Linked DNA regions of Oryctolagus cuniculus. The protein of the gene in region 2 binds, or shares a complex with, the protein of the main gene of each other region. Links are inferred from orthologs where the notes say so. Each region holds a gene or a part of one and is shown on either strand. Other genes may lie near its edges. The genes, in order: MCCC2 and MCCC1.

Region 1 (9,091 bases), on a different chromosome or scaffold from region 2:
AGAGATCAGAGATACCACCTCATACTAAAACACTAGCAAGAAATGTTCAGAGACACAAAGCCTCAAGGTTTACAAGCAGAGATATTGAGGGGGCAGGACCAGGAGAGGTCAGGGAGAGAACAGGCAAGGAAGCCATGACAGTTTATAAAATCATCAACAAAGATTGCAGAAATTAAAAGGAGAAAGTAGAAGGAAAACAGGGAAACCCTACAGGCATGACTTAAGGAGAATTTCAGGAAAGGGAACAAATGACAACACCATGAGGTAGAGTGAGAGACTCTGGCCTCTGGGTCAGTGGGCATCGTCTGGGACATAATCCCAAAGACACAATTCCTAATGCCACAATCCTGAATGTTGAAATCCCCGAAGATTAAAGTCTCAAAAGTATAATTCTAGAAAAAGTCACTTTAAAAGTTCTTTAAAAGATACTTATACATGCTTTTAAAGGGGGATTTGAGAAACATTAAAAAAATGTGCAGAACAGGTAATGACTCACATTATACAATAAAAATGCAATGATAGGGACTGGTTTGTGGCATAACACTGGCATCCCAAATAAGTGTCAGTTCAAGTCCTGGCTGCCCCACTTCCAATCAGCTCCTTGTAAATGCATCTGGGAAAGCAGAAAAGAATGGCCCAGGTGCTTGGGCCCCTGCCACCTATGTGGGAGACCCAGACTTCAGCCTGGCCCAGCCCCAGCCATTGCAGTCATTTGGAGAGTGAACCACCGATGGAAGATCTCTTTCTTCCTCTCCTATTAATGCTGTCTTTCAAATAAATAAGATAAATCTTTTAAAAAAAATATACATACTTTTGCAAGCATAAACACTCAGGTACACAAATGATAGTCACACAGGTATAAAAATTATAAAGAGATGAACTATACTCACAATCAGTCAAAAAGTAGAAACTGTATAATCACATATTCCTATGGTTGGAAACTGTTTACAGTGAGCTTTGTAACTGGAGTCACCCGAGAAACAGTGACAGGTGACCTAAAGTCATTTGATAAGATCAATCAGAATTCCCCAGGGGTCACACAGCGCATATATATATATATATGAATATAGTCACCTGAAGAGCTGAGACACTTCACAAAGGCAGATGAACAGAAAGGACATAACTTCCCGAAAAGTGCCAGCATCTTTACACACATATATGTACCACTTAACACACAACATGAATGTGATGATGCAACATATGTGGAGTCACATTTGCATGGAATGTATAAAAGTAATTCGAATTCTGTAAGTCTTTATTTTAAAAAGGCAGAGTGACAGGGAGAGAAAGACAGAGACAAAGAGAAAGAAATCTTCCTTCCACTGATCCACCCCTCAAATGGCCAGAAGAACTAGGGCTGGGCCAGGAAAATTGGGAACCAGGAAGCCTTGGGTTCTAAATTCCTGCTTAAATAAAAGAGAAAAAATAAATGCAAAGAGAAGTGGCTCAATGAAATAATCACTGGGTTACAAGTTTTAGAAAACAAAAATAAAAGCGCAAAAAGAAGACAATCAGAGGACTTTTAGTCATTTTAGATTTTTTATCATAGGTAGGTTTTGCTTATTCAAAAAAACTGTGCATTTTTCATAAAAGACTTTATGCTAAAGCACCTCAAGCTTTGAGTTCCACAGAAAAAGACCCCGCCTGGCTTCATTTACCAGCACAGGGCTGGCTCACAGCAGATCCTCCATAAATAGTAGCAGAATAGTATGCTTTAGTCTCCACAGAAGCTACATGAACAACAATGACACAAAGCAAATTATACACATGCAAGATGACAGAGGTCTACAGTGGGTTGAGCAACAGCCCCAAAAGATGGGACCACGGCCTGATCCCCAGGACCTGTGGATGTGACCTTACTTGGGAAAAGGGCCTGAGTGTGTGTGATTATATTAAGATAATAATGGACCTTAAATCCAATAACAAGTTGGCCGGCGCCGTGGCTCAATAGGCTAATCCTCCACCTTGCGGCGCCGGCACACCGGGTTCTAGTCCCGGTTGGGGCGCCGGATTCTGTCCCGGTTGCCCCTCTTCCAGGCCAGCTCTCTGCTATGGCCAGGGAGTGCAGTGGAGGATGGCCCAGGTGCTTGGGCCCTGCACCCCATGGGAGACCAGGAAAAGCACCTGGATCCTGGCTCCTGCCATCGGATCAGCGCGGTGCGCCGGCTGCAGCAGCGGCCATTGGAGGGTGAACCAACGGCAAAAGGAAGACCTTTCTCTCTCTGTCTCTCTCTCACACTGTCCACTCTGCCTGTCAAAAAAAAAAAAAAAAAAATCCAATAACAAGCATCCTTATAAGAAAGAACAGTCACCCATCCAAAGAGGAAAAGGCCTGGGAAGAGAGAGGCAGAGATTGCCACCCACATTTCAAACTTCTGCCCTCCAGAACTTCAGGGAATGAATCTTGGTTAAGCCCCTGGTTCATGGTTAAGTTCATGGTCATTTGTTTCAGCAGCTCTAGGGACCTAACACAAAGCAAGACAGATATGCTGTAATACCAGATTAAAAGTGCTGATTTCCCCTATGATACACAAGATGGTAATAACAACTGCATTCAGGACAGTGAGAGGGAGAGAGGTGCAGCGTCAACAAAGCTCAAGTTTCTCATTTAGATAAACAAAGCATAGAGGTGAGCAAGGTCACTGCCAACACTACAATTTACAATAAATACAACCTACTCCCCTGATAGAACGTCAAAAGATTTAACTAGAACATCAATAAAAATATGGACTTAAGAAATCCAACAAGGAAATGGAAACAAAGGAAGAGCATAAGTATTACAAAGTAGTTCAACCATGAAAAAAGGTAGGAGGATAAAAAATAAATATCCATTCACTTAATCCCCAGTCTTCATAAATAAATAAATTTGGCCAAATTTATCTCACATCTTTTTTCTTAAAGGAATAAAATATTTCAAATATAACTGGGGCCAGTGTTGTGGCACAGAAAGTTAAGCTGCTGCCTGCAGCACCAGCATCCCATGTGGGCACCGGTTCAAGTCCTAGCTGCTCCACTTCCAATCCAGCTCCCTATTAATGGCCCAGGAAAGCAGCAGAAGATGCCCCAAGTGCTTGGTCCCTTGCACCCATGTGGGAGATCCAGAGGAAGTTTCTGGCTCCTGGGCCAACCTGGGCCAGCCCCAGCTTTTGTGGCCATCTGGGGAATGAACCAGCAGATGGAAGATCTCTCTCTCTCTCTGTGACTCTATCTTTCAAATAAATAAATCTTTTATATATAATTACATGTATAAATGTATAAATGTGTGTGTATATATACACATATACATATATATATGTATGTGTATATATATATATATATAAATTGAAGCCCTACAAACCTACAGACCTCCTATCTGACCACCTGATCCCTTTCTCCTTGATCCTACCTTACAGGAAGCCATTGTTTAAAGTTGAATGGATTGTTCTCATGTGCCTGTTTACACTTATATAGTATACAGTACAATATGATATAATTAACCTTTACAGACATGGCAACTGTGCTTCTATTCAACATATTTTCACACTTACTTATGTTGATAGATGCTGCAATCTGAGTACATTCAACAACTAAAATTATTAATCTCACATTAATCAACATTTAGGTTACTCTTTAACTTTTCTTTTTTTTAAGATTTTATTTAGGCCGGTGCCACAGCTCAATAGACTAATCCTCCGCCTAGCGGCGCCGGCACACCGGGTTCTAGTCCCAGTCGGGGCGCCGGATTCTGTCCCAGTTGCCCCTCTTCCAGGCCAGCTCTCTGCTCTGCCAGGGAGTGCAGTTGAGGATGGCCCAAGTAGTTGGGCCCTGCACCCCATAGGAGACCAGGAGAAGTACCTGGCTCCTGCCTTCGGATCAGCACGGTGCGCCGGCCGCAGCGCGCCGGCCACGGCAGCCATTGGAGGGTGAACCAACGGCAAAGGAAGACCTTTCTCTCTGTCTCTCTCTCACTGTCCACTCTGCCTGTCAAAAAAAAAAAAAATTTTTTTTATTTATTTATTTTCTTGAGAGGCAGAGTTACAGAAAGAGGGAGAGACAGAGAGAGAGAGGAGAGAGAGGGGAGAGAGGAGAGAGATCTTCTATCCAATGGTTCACTCTCCAAATGGCCTCAACGGCCAGAACTGGGCTGATCTAAAGCCAAGAGTCAGGAGCCTCTAACTGGTCTCCCACAAGGGTACAGGGTCCCAAATGCTTGGGCCATCATCCACTGCTTTCCCAGGCCATAGCAGAGAGCTGAATCAGAAGAGGAGCAGCTGGACTTGAACCAGCTCCCATATGGGATGCTGGCACTGCAAACGGAAGACAGAACAACACAGAAAAAGGGGGGAAGGGGGTGGAATTGATCTTCCATCTGCTAGTTCACTTCCCAAATGGCTGCAATAGCCCAGGTAGGGCTAGGCTAGTCAGGAGTTCCATCCTGGTCTCCTACGTGGCTGACAGGGGCCCAAATACTTAGGCCATCTACTACTGCCTTCCCAGGCACATTATTAAGGAGCTGGACTGGAAGCAGAGTAGCTGGGACTCGAACCAGCACTCTGATATGACACTGGTGTCATAAGCGGTGGCTTAACCTGCTGCACCACAATGCCAACCCCCAGTGACCTTTTATTGTCTAGATTTTTTCATGCATCCACTAGAACTTCCCCACAGAACAGACCTAGAAAAGGAACTACGAAGTGCCCTTTCTTTTCAAAACCTGTTTTCCTAGGTAAATAACCTTTACTACAGTGTAGGGGCAGACCTATTGATCATCAGAAGGTTCTAACTGGAGACCATCTTGAGATACTTTCTGTGGGAAAAGCCTAAATTCTAGTTTATCTTTAAATCATCCCTGAGTATATGATTGGCAGAGACATTTGGAATAAAAAAGCAATACAGCTCACCAGTGAGATATTACCTGTGTAATATTTTTAGACGACATAATTGCCTGATTATAGAATATGCGGCCGAAGTGATCTCGGTCTGGAAACGTATCTGCTTGTCGAGGTAAGTTTGCCCCTCCTGAATCGACTGAAGGAAAATGGGAGAAGTCAGCACATCTCTGTGAACAAAACACACTCTCCCAGGGGACCTGCCTCAAGGACAGTAGTGGTTCCTGATCACAGCCACGTTCTAGACACACTCTGGAGTCTCTTTCTCCAACCCCCTGCACAGCCCGAAGGACTCACTGTTGGTCCCAAACCCACCTGGCTTCCCTACGTCTGTGCAAAATGCTAGCTGAGATGTCTGGGACATTCTCTCATTTGAAGACCAGCTAAGGTCCTCAGATAATCCAGGAATATAAATTCTTAACCAACTGAACTGAAAATTTTTCTTTTCCTCTTCCACGCCAATACAAAAGCCATCCACGGAATTCATGGGGACGATTCATCACTTAAGGCCTTCTGATACTGCGCTGATCGCAGACTGAAACAGTGGATTAGGGTACTGTGTTCAAACACAGCTTGTTACTGCACAGCTGTGTGGTTACAGGTGTCTCCTTGCCATGCTTTGCCTCAGTCTCTCCCCTGTGAAATGAAGATAACAATAGGAGCTACCCCACAGAGCTGCTAGGAGGAGTGAAATACCATATATAAAGCACTTCATTCAGAGGCACACACTCTGAGTGCACACAGGAGATGTTAAAATTTGGCTAGTCCTACATTTACTACTACTGCCTATGACCACTGCGTCTTTAATAGTTATTTAACCCCATCTCCTGTCTCAAAGTCATCATGAGCTCACTGAAGACAGAGACAACATCATGCCTTTCACTCATCCCCTCCAGCATCTGGCCCAGGACCACAAGCAGCTGGGCTTCATTTGCTATTTTCTGTACATGCGAAAAACAGTTCACATTGTGAGTAAACCAGGTATTCACTTTCCAGGATTAAAAAATCTCTACATCAGTATCTGTGTTCGAGTACCAGCATAAATGAACAATGTATGTTGGAATCTCATCAAACTAAGTCAATATCTAGGAGGTGCCAATTTTTCTAAACTGCTTTGCTTTTAGGTTCTTTCTGGAATATCCCCTGATTTTAAAGCAATTCACTAGAAATTAAATTTACTTAAAATAACATTTGCTCAAATTATATAATATAGCATTTAACACAGTGCCAGGCACTCAAAGAGATCCATAAAAATTAGCTATTTTTTTCATAGTTTGGACCCATTATGGGTAACAGAACAACAAAATATATAGAAGAAAAAATCCACAGTGTGGAGAGAAAAAAAAAAAAAACGGCACACACCAAGATATTCCTAGGGGATATTCCTGGAAGTTCATTTCCCCTGGAGTTTTCAGGAAAGAACATGTGTTTCCTTTATAATTGTGGAAGAAATCAATCAATAGCTTTTTTTTTTTTTTTTTTTAAACAACTGGTAGCGTCAGGGTCTAGCCTTCTAAACAGGCTTGCACTTTCCCAGCCGGCCACAGCTTACTGTGCGGTGCCTGTCACTTGCCCAGGTAGATGCAGGGGAGCCTGTTCTGCAGCGCAATCTCCTGGGCCCGCAGGTGTTTCTTCACGGTCACCGGGTAGTAGGTGCCTCCTTTAACAGTGGCGTCATTGGCAACGATCATGCACTCTACTCTGAAAGGCAGAAATTTCATCGGAAAGAGAATGTGAGTGATTTCTTCAAAATTAAAGGCCCATGGTAGCGAATGACAAGACGCTCAGTGTAAGCCTCAACACCTTGTGCATTTCACCAGTGACACCCATTAGCTGCCGGTCTGAGGATACAAAACAAGCCTGACAATGGTCATGGCTGACACAGTCATTCATATAAAACCGAATGATTACTTTATTGAGGGTACAAACTCACACTTGAAAAACTACAAACGTAAGCTCATTTCATGATGGTTCCTTGAATGAAAGGACCCTAACAATGTTAATACCCAAAACCTTAAAAACTCAAGTCTTGGGGGTGAGGAATTCCTTTACAATAAACCTTCAGAAAGCCGGCTCCGTGGCTCAATAGGCTAATCCTCCACCTTGCGGCGCCGGCACACCGGGTTCTAGTCCCGGTTGGGGCGCCGGATTCTGTCCCGGTTGCCCCTCTTCCAGGCCAGCTCTCTGCTATGGCCAGGGAGTGCAGTGGAGGATGGCCCAGGTGCTTGGGCCCTGCACCCCATGGGAGACCAGGAAAAGCACCTGGCTCCTGGCTCCTGCCATCGGATCAGCGCGGTGCGCCGGCTGCAGCGGCGGCCATTGGAGGGTGAACCAACGGCAAAGGAAGACCTTTCTCTCTCTGTCTCTCTCTCTCACTGTCCACTCTGCCTGTCAAAAAAATAAATAAATAAAAAAAAAACCTTCAGAGTTCTCTTTAAGCAAGGAAATTTGCAAAAAAAAAAAAAAAAAAAAAAAATTAACACTGACCCATCAGGAGTTCCAGCATTTATTTACTATATTTTTCAGAAGATCTTCAGTATTACGGGTCTATGCTCTTCCATAAAACTAAAATTCGTCTAAAATACAACATTAAATTAGCTTGAAGTCACAGCGGATGCAAACCGTAAAACAGCACACTGAAGACATATCGCAGATACAATGAGCCCTCAATAGTGCTCCTTCTCACCAAGACCAGTGTGCTGGGTACGAGGACCCACGGGTAACAAAGAGCAGAGCAGGGGACAAAGACAGCCAGGGAGGGAAACGGTGCAGCCTCACCAGGAAGCCCTAAAACCAGCAGCTCCTCACTGGAAATCTGGGACACATCTGAATTCTTCACAAAATTCAATTTTCTTTACACTGACGATGCTTTCATTATCTCATTTTATAACCTCCAGAATTCTGAAAGGTAACGCCCTGAATCCTTGTTGAAAATAAAGTGGATAAAAGCAGCTGGGCTCCCAGGCGAGGGCAATGTGCTTCTCCTATTTATGCGTCATAACCCTTGTGGCAAATGTCCACTCCGAAATTTTGTCCTTCTTATTCACCATTGTGCCCCTAAACTAGAACCAGGAACGTGGAAAGCAACAAAAAATGTTTGCTGAAGAGCAGGCCTTTGGCCTCGCTGTTAAAACCTGCTCAGGACGTCCACGTCAAAATACTGCAGGGTTGGAGTGCATCCCAGCTCTGCCCCAGATTGCAGCTTACTGCTGCTATGCACCCTGGGAGGCAGCAGCATCTGACACCCACGTGGGAGACTGGATGGAGCTCCCAGCCCCTGGCTCCAGCCAGGCCCAGCCCTAGCTGTTGCAGGCATTTGGATATGAGCCAGCGTATAGGAGATCTCTGTATCTCTTTCTCTATCTCTCTGTCTTTAAAATAAATGAGTAATCTTAAAAATAAAAAGGATTTGGGGCTGTTGCCTGTGACACTGGCATCCTATATGGCCACTGGTTCATGTCACAGCTTCTCTGCTTCCAACCTAGCTCCTGCTAATGCACCTGGGAAAGGAACAGAAAATGGACAAAGTGCTTGGGCTCCACACCCACGTGGGAGACCCAGAAGAGACTCCCAGCTCCTGACTTCAGTCTGGCCCAACCCCAGTCGTTACAGTCATTTGGAGAGTGAACCACCAGATGGAAGACCCCTCTCTGTCTCTCCCTCTCTCTTTCTGCAGCTCTGCCTTTCAAAACAAACAAAAAGTATTTATCATGGAGCCTGTTTCAAGGTAAAAAAAAAAAAAAAAATACATATTCTATTGTCTACCCTCTCAATTCCTGGCACAGAGATCCTAAACTTTTGTCATTTCTGAGTGATGGGATGACAGGAGTATCTTTTGTTATTCATAACAAGCCCCTTCCAATCACTTCAAAATTTATAATATTTTTAGTACACTTATACTTTGACTGCTATCCCTCACATAGGGTTAGGCGTGGAAAATACTGTATGAAATAACATTCAAATTATGTATGTAAGGTGCATACGAAACATTTTAAATTCAGACTTGGGTCGTCTCCCAAATAGCTTTTTTAAAATGTTTTCAAATAATAGTTCCTTTTTTTAAGATTTATTTATTTATTTGAAAGGCAGAGTTATAGAGAAGCAGAGGCAGAGGTCTTCCATCTGCTGATTCACTCCCAAATGGCCACAATGGCCAGAGCTGGGCCAATCCAAAGCTGGGAGCCAAAAGCTTCTTCCGGGTCTCCCACAAGGGTACGGGGGTC
Region 2 (8,192 bases):
ACAGCAACCTGAAATTTTCATGACAGCATGGCTGCTTCTCCCTTTTTTAAACAGAGAAAGTTGTGTTTGGAAAGCGGAAACGAGTTTGTTGCTAAAAATATAGTTAGAAAGCCCTGGTTTAGATTGTCTGGTCCTTTATTATCTCGTGCCTAAATATCCAAGAACCACCTCCTAGATGGTTGCTCGGTCACTGGCCTTTGCTTCCTCCATCTGGCTTTCGTGCTGCTTGTTACAAAGCCAGAGCTCTATGATGAACACCACTGATCAACCACCCAGCCAACAACTAGAACATTAACCTGACATATCCCAGCCCTCGCACAATATCCAGGGGAATCCCTATCTGCAACTTTGAACTTTTTATTCCATTCTTCATCACAGGCAATAAACCACGTATCGAGGAGGCTGTCCACTTTGGACATATGCAAAGGTGGTAATGCATCATACAGATCTCCTGGGCCATGCTTATTTCACCTAGCATTTGGATTCTAAGATTTAGTTATGCTGATGCTATTAACTTGCCTAGTCTATTGCTAAATAGTAGTCCACTCTAGACTCAAACCATACTTAACCTGCCCTGGCTAACCAACTCTGACTGCTTCCAACGCTTTCCCATTCTGTGGCGTGTGGCCATGGACATCCCTGGTGCACACGTGTATTTGTGCATCTGTGGAAGTGGGGTGTTAGGTTCTAGGGGATGGAAACGTTCAGCATCATAAAATGGCATCAGTATTTTTCAAAGGGGCTCCAATAGCCAGGTAGCATTTCCCCAAATACCATACGTAATTCAGCGTAAGCACTACTTGCAGGATGAAACCCAAACCTGACATTCCCTGCCAGGATTTCATTTGACCATAACCTAAACTCTGTGCTTTTTCTCTCATGGCAGCCCCCTCTCTCAAAAGCCCCAACCGTTCCAGTTGTGTGAACCTGCTCTTCAGCACACAACACACCTTGTTCATTTTCCACAGTGAAGTCCTGCTCCTTCCTCTTTCCCAGTCCCCATTCCCCCCCTCACCCTCCCCCCCCCCCCTGGCCCTGGGTTGTTCCTCCTTTGCAAAAACCTAGCCTGATCATGGCAGCCCAGAGAACTCTCACTCATGCCGGCTCCTAAAATACCTACTTCCGGCACCAGTCATGACCGCAGTCGTCACCTCCACCCACGTCTTGGGAGAGATTGAGTTTCACGTTGCCTGGTTGGGGAGATGGACATTCTAACCGGGCTGTGTCATCAGATTTATTTGAGAACTCAGCACTTCCAATTTTAGTACTACCGTTGGCACCTTCCTTGCCACTGCACTGGTGATGGGACTGCTTCCTTAGCAATCAAGAGACAGAGACCTTTCCCCACAGAACTTCTGACATGCTTATGTTTTCCTTTTCCAATTAAATTACAGGCATCTTAAAGAGATCATCTTTTATCCATTTTTTTTTGTATTCTCCACATTTAACATAGTTTTATGCATTCAGTGAAGGCACAATTTAGCAAATATTTGATGCTGCAATGAATACATGAAAATGCAGAGGGCTGTATAAGTGTCAGTAATAACAGAATCTACACAAAGGTGAAGAACTACAATCCAAAGTGGGCTTTTTTCTTTTTGGTAACGAAAAAATGCTTTCATAAAGAAGTATTCAGCAGTCAGGCATTCTACTTTTACCCATGCTTTCTGTAACAGCATATTTTAAAAATTTATCCAAATTAATTCTTAATACTATATTCTAGTATATAATACATACAACTCATACACATATTTTTTTATGAGCTTAGAAAGTAGCAGCAGTCTAGGTAGAAATTTTCCAATCAAAAAGTAGAAACAAACAGCCATGTCTTTAAACTGCCCAATAAGTTACTCTTTGATGAAACAAAATCTTGGTTGGGCTTTGCTCTGTGGCCATCTGTCTGAAGGATGTTACTGTCCATTTTCATCATGATTGTAACTGGAAAATAATTCATTTAGTTAAATAACTTTTTTCTTCCAATTTTTTTCATCAAGTTGCTATCCCCTTTCCTAAAAATGCTACATTTTATAAAATCTGAGGCAGAAACAATATCTATTGCCAGTAAAAAAAAAAAGCACAATTCAATTTTATTAGTATGAAATATTCTGAGATAATTATATTTGTGACTCAGTGCATGATTCCTTTCTAAGATTCATTTATTTATTTGAAAGGCAGAGATACAGAGAGAGACAGAGAGAGGGCCCCCATCCACTGGCTCACTCCCCAAATGGCTGCAATGGCCAGTCCTGGGTTGATCTGAATTTGGAGCCAGGAACCTTCTCCAGGTCTCCCATGTGGGACTTGGGCCACCCTTCACTGCTGTCCCAGGTGCACTGGCAGGGAGCTGGACTGAAAGAGGAACATCCGGGACTTGAATCGGCGCCCGTAAAGAATGCTGGCACCATAGGCAGCAGCTTTACCTGCTGCACCACAGTGTTGGGCCTCAAGTACACAATTCTTAAATAAGAGAGGTTTGGCATAATCATGTAGTTAAATCATTTAGTTAAAACTGCCTTTTATAAGAACCCAAGAAAAAGCAGTAGGCACTTTCTTTTCAGTATGAGAATAAGATACTACGTAATTGGCCATTTTTCTCTGATGGGGTTTATTCTGATTCCCTTTTGTCAGATTCCTCCTCCTCAAACTCGACCAAAGGAGCATGTCTGTTGGCCTGCGAGCCTTCTTTGTAGAACACTTTCTTTATCGTGCCATCCTTCGGCGCCTTTATGGTGTGCTGCAGAGACACAAGATAGAATAAACAATGATGCAAACACTAATGGGACTGAAAGAGAAAAGGGGAAATATGTAGCCAACTGTTTTGCTGATTCCTAGTCTTTCTGCCCTGCCCAACCTTTTATTATTATTGTTTAAACATCACATGATGTTGACAGAAAAAATGGTGACACTGTTGTGGTATGTTTGAGGGTTGCAGGAATCAATCCTGGGAACCCAGACAGGAGATGATGAGGAAGCTCTGGTCTGGCGAGTAGGTCCCAAACCCAGCTTCACATGAGAATATCACCTGGGATGCTTTCAAACAGTACTGGTCCCCAGGCCCTAGCCTTGGAGATTCCTTGGCTGCGGAAGTAGCTTATAAAAGTTTCCCAGGTGACCGGAATTTTGGCCAAGGGTTGATGACCACAGACCTAAAAGCCTCCATAGCTAATTCAATTTGATTGAGGCTTTTCACTTTGAAAACGACACTTGGAATCCTCAGGGTTCAGCCTTAGAAAACACAAACAGAGAAAGCATCTAGTTGGGCTACTTCCTGCTTCTAAGCTATCAACAATTTCATAATCAGAAATGACAGGTGTGCTTTCCCAAAATTAAGATGAAAATATATTTATGAGAAGGAACACTGGGTTTTGTTTCCTGAAATTAACGCTTCATTGATCCATGACTCTTCATATTTAAAATGGCATTAACTTACAAACGAATGCAAAAGAACATCAGGCTTGAGGTTCCCAAGGTTCCCTTGCCAACAGAACGTGTGATTTCGCTCACCTCCATCTTCATGGCGATCATAACCACTAGAGAATCTCCAGCTTTCACTCTGTCCCCGGCTTTCACAAACACCTAGAGATTCAGAGGATGGGTTACTATCTAAAAACACAGACGCCTTGGTGGTCCACATTGCTGGCATGGAAGTGGAGCAGAAGCAGGAGTCTGTGTGACTATGCTGTCTGCATGGGTGTGAAGCAGCCACCACCAGCTCAATGCAGCACGGCTTAGAACCCCGCGCCCACCTCAGGTCATCAAGTTTTGCTTCAATTAGGTGTGGATACATTTTATCTATCTTGGTATCCTTTTGTTGTTTTCATGGGTGTACAAACAAGAACATCACTAGCAGGGATCCTATTGTTATCTTCAAAAAGTTAATGAAAAAAATGTGTATCAATGAAAAAGAGAAGTGTGGCTCTCAAAGGGTTTTTTTGCATCAAAATAAGCATATTTTTAATTCTATTTTTTCCCATGAACTTTCTGATGTTCCTGGTGTACTTAAATGTCTTCAGCAGACAGGGCAGAGGGAGGTCACGACTGGCTTTCTGGTTTGAGGGGTGTCCAGGCTACTGTCTGAAGTCTTGAGTCCTGTGTAGTATGTGTGTAGACAATTTTCATGTAGGAGAATTAAACTTATTAGCAAGCTGAAAAAGAATTTGTTTTCCTTTTTACAGCCGTAAATGAATTTGCATGTCCCATAAGGTCTCCCTATCTTTTCGGTTAATGTGGTTACCAGAGAGTTTTTGGAAACGTTTCGCAGGAGAGTTAGGTTCAGGTCAGTGAGGACTGATGAGCGTAAGAAGTGGGAAGCACCCCCGAGAGCCCTGCAAATGCCCCACTCCCAGGGTGCTTTAGCACACGCTGATGAAATGAGTGACCTGACTTTAGGGGGCCAGTAACGGGAAAACTGTGCATCTCTATCCACAAGATGAGCACTCCGTGCAGAGGTGCCCACACTATACAGAGGTCTGTGGAAACTAAGACTGAGTGAACTAAAGCGAATCCAAGTCTGCTCGGAGGTAAATTCTTCAAGAGGGGAACAGTGGGTGAAATCATGCATACTTACATAATTATTATCACTTCGTCTGCTTCCTCCTCCCCTTCCTCCTCTACTACTTACACAATCACTATCTCTTTTTCCTTCTGCTACTTTTTTTTTGCATCAAGAAGATACAAATGCATTTCTGTGATTTAAGTGCATTCAAGGTGTAAGAGGAGATTACTGATCCATCACCACTGGGGTTACACTACAGGTGCTATGCACGGTCTGAATGTGTCCCCCCAAAATTCACACCCTGAAATTCTAACCCCCAAGGGGATGATAATTGGAGGTGGGGCCTTGGCGAGGCAGCCCTCAGGAACAGGATTCGTGACCTTCTGAAAGAGGCCTGAAAGAGATCCCTTGCCCCTACCAACTTATGAGAACACTGGGAAAAGACCGCTGTTTATGACACCAGGAAGCCAGATCTCATTAGACGGTGACTCTGCTGGTGTCCGGAGCTTGCTTTCCCAGCCTCCGGAGTGGTAATACGTTTCTGCTTATGAGTGACTTGGTCTACAGCCTTCTGTTAGAGCAGCCCAAAGGGACACGGACAGGATGGATGTGAGTTCTGGATGCACACTGCATTCAACACCAGACCACACTGCTCTTCAGCAACATCAGCTTTTCGAATGTCATCTTAACACACATGCAGTTATGCATATTGGAAAAAAGTTATTGTTTCATGACAAAACAGTCTTTGGTGGATGCTCTATTCCAAATGTAAGAGAACAAACTGGATTCTTTGTACTTTGATGCAAATTCTGACCTTCAAAAAGAGTGGTCTTTATCATAAACTAGGTAAAGGAGTTTTTTCACTGAAAATTATATAATATGGAATTGCAATCTAGAACAAATCCTCTTGCTTTCTTAAAATGGACAAAGTTCAACAAAGGCATGTATTAGGCTTTATTGGACATCATTTTAACAAATGTCGCATGATTACCTTCTCAATGGTTCCCGTCATAGGAGCTACAGTAGCTCCCTGAGTCCCTTCGGAGCTCAGCGAAGACAGGTATTTGGGTACTGGAATGTCAAACTTGATACTCCCCTCCTGTAAACAGAAAAAAACAGAACATGGAAACTAGTTCCTATCACTATATTTTTCTCATATACTTGAAATGATTACTGTCACGCTACTTGTTAAACATTAGCCATCAGAAGATCAGCATTCTAGTCTACCTTCTGTGACTTTGAGGGAAGTACAATTATTCTCAATCTGGCTTTGCCATTATGAAGCAGTGGCGTGCATGCCAGCCAGGTGGTTAACAAAATGAAGTCACTGTCCAGAAGCCATTTAGCAGCATCCTCACCATCACGTGCTGGGTCTACGCAGTCAACGCCAGGAACTGTTCTTAATGTTTCATTAATTATGTCATTAACCATCACACAAGTCCACGAGGTAGGTACTGTTATCATTCTGATTTACAGATGGGAAACTTGAAGCACAGAGTGTCTAACTGCCCAAGGCCACTCAGGCTAAGCGGCAGGGCCAGGATTTGAATCACAGCAGCTCTACCTTCCAGAACTCAGGCTCCTCACCTTGCACTGCCTCCACCATCCTACTGCTACAGTGTCACTGACAATGGAAAGGAATGCCTGGGCAAGTGAGAGCACCCCAGACTCCAAAACTGCCAGCAAACTGAAGACATCATCACAAAGCACTCTGCCCTGCAAGGTGGTCCCACAAGGTGACAGTCCCCCAGGGGGCCACAGTGTAATTGAGAGTTCGTTCTGCAGGGCAGAGTGTGACAGACTCGTTGTGTGGGTGGCTCCTAACCCAATCCATGGAAGCCAGCCCTGACTGTCCTTTGACTGCCTAGAGACCACCAGGAACCCAGCCACCTTCCCTCTGTCAAGAGGCACATCTGGTCCCAGCGGTCGCCTCCTGTAAAATCAACAGGACTCCAAGAGCCAGGTGGAAGGTGGTGTTCAGGCAACCAAGCCCCGAGAGAACACAGCCCACTGAGCCAGGAGGTGCTCCCTGACGAGGGTGCTGCAGGCACTTGTTTCAGAATCCAAGGAAGAAAATGGTTATGTGTCTACCAGAGAGAATCTGCGTGACCACAGGAGTGAACGGAGAGCTAGGGAGGGCAGGAATATGGCAAAGAAATGGAGGAGGAGCCACGGCAGTGGTGGAAGGGAGCAGTGCCTTTCTGAACTCACTTGGGGAAATGCCTCTGTCAAGCACCTTTCTCCTAAACCCCAAGATATAAAGAAAAGACGAGGGGCTGGCGCTGTGGCATAGTGGTTAAAACCACTGCCTGCAGTGCTGGCACTCCAGTTCAAGTCCACTTCCCACTCCCAATCCAGCTCCCTCTGATGCACCTGGGAAAGCAGCAGAAGATGGTCCAAGTGCTTCAGCCCCTGCACCCACGTGGGAGACCTGGAAGAAGCTCCTGGCTTTGGATCAACCCAGCTCCAGCTGTTGTGGCCATCTGGGGAGTGAACCAGTGAATGGAAGACCTCCCTCCTTCCCTCCCTCTTTCTCTGTAACTCTGCCTTTCAAATACATAAATAAAATTAAAAAAAAAAAAACACACACACACACACACAAAGAAAAGACGTTACCATGGAAAATAGGTAGATAGTGTTTTCCAGGATAATGAGCTTGGCTTTATGAGTAACTCCATTAACAGAACACTTCAGGTAAGTGCAATCTCCCTCACTAGAAAGATCACCAAGGACTTGGAAGGTTTGGTCTTCAATCTGAAAAACAAACAGAAAAATATCTTCAAAATCAATAATGACCCCCCAGAATTAATAAAATCAGAATCAATTATTTGCTATTGGTAATTTCAACAGGTAGTACATCAAAACTATTTTTAAAAACCATGGAGAACTTTCCTCAGATTCCTAACCAAAATGCTTTAGATAAAACAGCAATAATTAAAAGGAAATACATCAGTTATATAGCATATCCATGTCACTACAATGCTACAGATAAAGGTTCATTTTAGAAATAAGAGCAATAAAAATGTTAAGTAAAAATACAAATCAAGGTAAGAAAAATTATTGATTCATTTCAGTAACTTTAATGTTAGTACTCATTTCTGAGTGTGCAAAATCAAATTTAATTTTCCTATGCCGAAGTCAGTAATAAAAAAAGAACCAGAACTACATAATTGTATGGTATTTCTTATGAATTTTTTTCAAAGATTTATTTATTTTTTTTTGAAAGTCAGAGTTACAGAGAATGAGAGGGAGGGAGGGAGGTAAGGAGGATGGGAGAGGGAGAGGGAGAGGGACAGAGAAAGAGAGCTTCCATCCACTGGTTCACTCCCCAAATTGCCACAAGCCAGGAACCCAGAATTCCATTTGGGTCTCCCACATGGATGGCAGGAGCCCATGTACTTGGGCTATCTTCCATTGCTTTCCCAGGCCATTAGCAGGGCACTGGGTTGGAAGTGGAGCAGCCGGGACTCAAACCAGCACCCATACAGGTTGCTGGAGTGGCAGGTAGTGGCTTAACACACTGCACTGCAACAGCAGCCCCCACAGATGGTACTTCTTTTATCTAACCAACACATAGGTCCAATTCATGGATATCAGTGACATTCAAAAAGATCAATTAGCTGAAGATAGACCTTAATAATTTTCACAAAGAGACCACATGTGAAAACAGAGTTCACACTCAATGCTTCATGGAAGC

Evidence for each region.
Region 1: the proteins of MCCC1 (region 2) and MCCC2 are in contact, whole or in part, in a cryo-EM structure (PDB 8JXM), measured with the Homo sapiens proteins. The link is inferred for Oryctolagus cuniculus from reciprocal best matches to the Homo sapiens genes MCCC1 and MCCC2. Residues at the interface, in NP_064551.3 of Homo sapiens: Glu519, Phe526, His531, Asp532, Phe534, Ser535, Pro536, Phe537, Ser538, Ser539, Ser540, Ser541, Gly542, Arg543, Arg544, Leu545, Asn546, Ile547, Tyr549, Thr550, Arg551, Tyr568, Tyr636, Leu637, Ser641, Glu644; in NP_071415.1 of Homo sapiens: Leu56, His57, Val60, Glu61, Lys64, Asp88, Ile91, Pro93, Gly94, Ser95, Pro96, Phe97, Leu98, Glu99, Gln102, Ile123, Gly124, Arg125, Gly128, Glu130, Arg234, Trp276, Leu278, His281, His282, His285, Lys298, Lys299, Leu300, Ile304.

The regions. Positions count from the first base shown.
Region 1 is NC_091445.1:39,382,308-39,391,398, forward strand, and holds part of MCCC2 (methylcrotonoyl-CoA carboxylase beta chain, mitochondrial), read right to left. Parts: intron 6,570-9,091; coding exon 6,442-6,569; intron 5,008-6,441; coding exon 4,895-5,007; intron 1-4,894. UniProt on the Homo sapiens protein: Carboxyltransferase subunit of the 3-methylcrotonyl-CoA carboxylase, an enzyme that catalyzes the conversion of 3-methylcrotonyl-CoA to 3-methylglutaconyl-CoA, a critical step for leucine and isovaleric acid catabolism.
Region 2 is NC_091435.1:96,604,612-96,612,803, reverse strand, and holds the end of MCCC1 (methylcrotonoyl-CoA carboxylase subunit alpha, mitochondrial), read right to left. Parts: intron 7,250-8,192; coding exon 7,112-7,249; intron 5,595-7,111; coding exon 5,487-5,594; intron 3,577-5,486; coding exon 3,505-3,576; intron 2,735-3,504; coding exon 2,606-2,734; 3' UTR 1,400-2,605; downstream 1-1,399.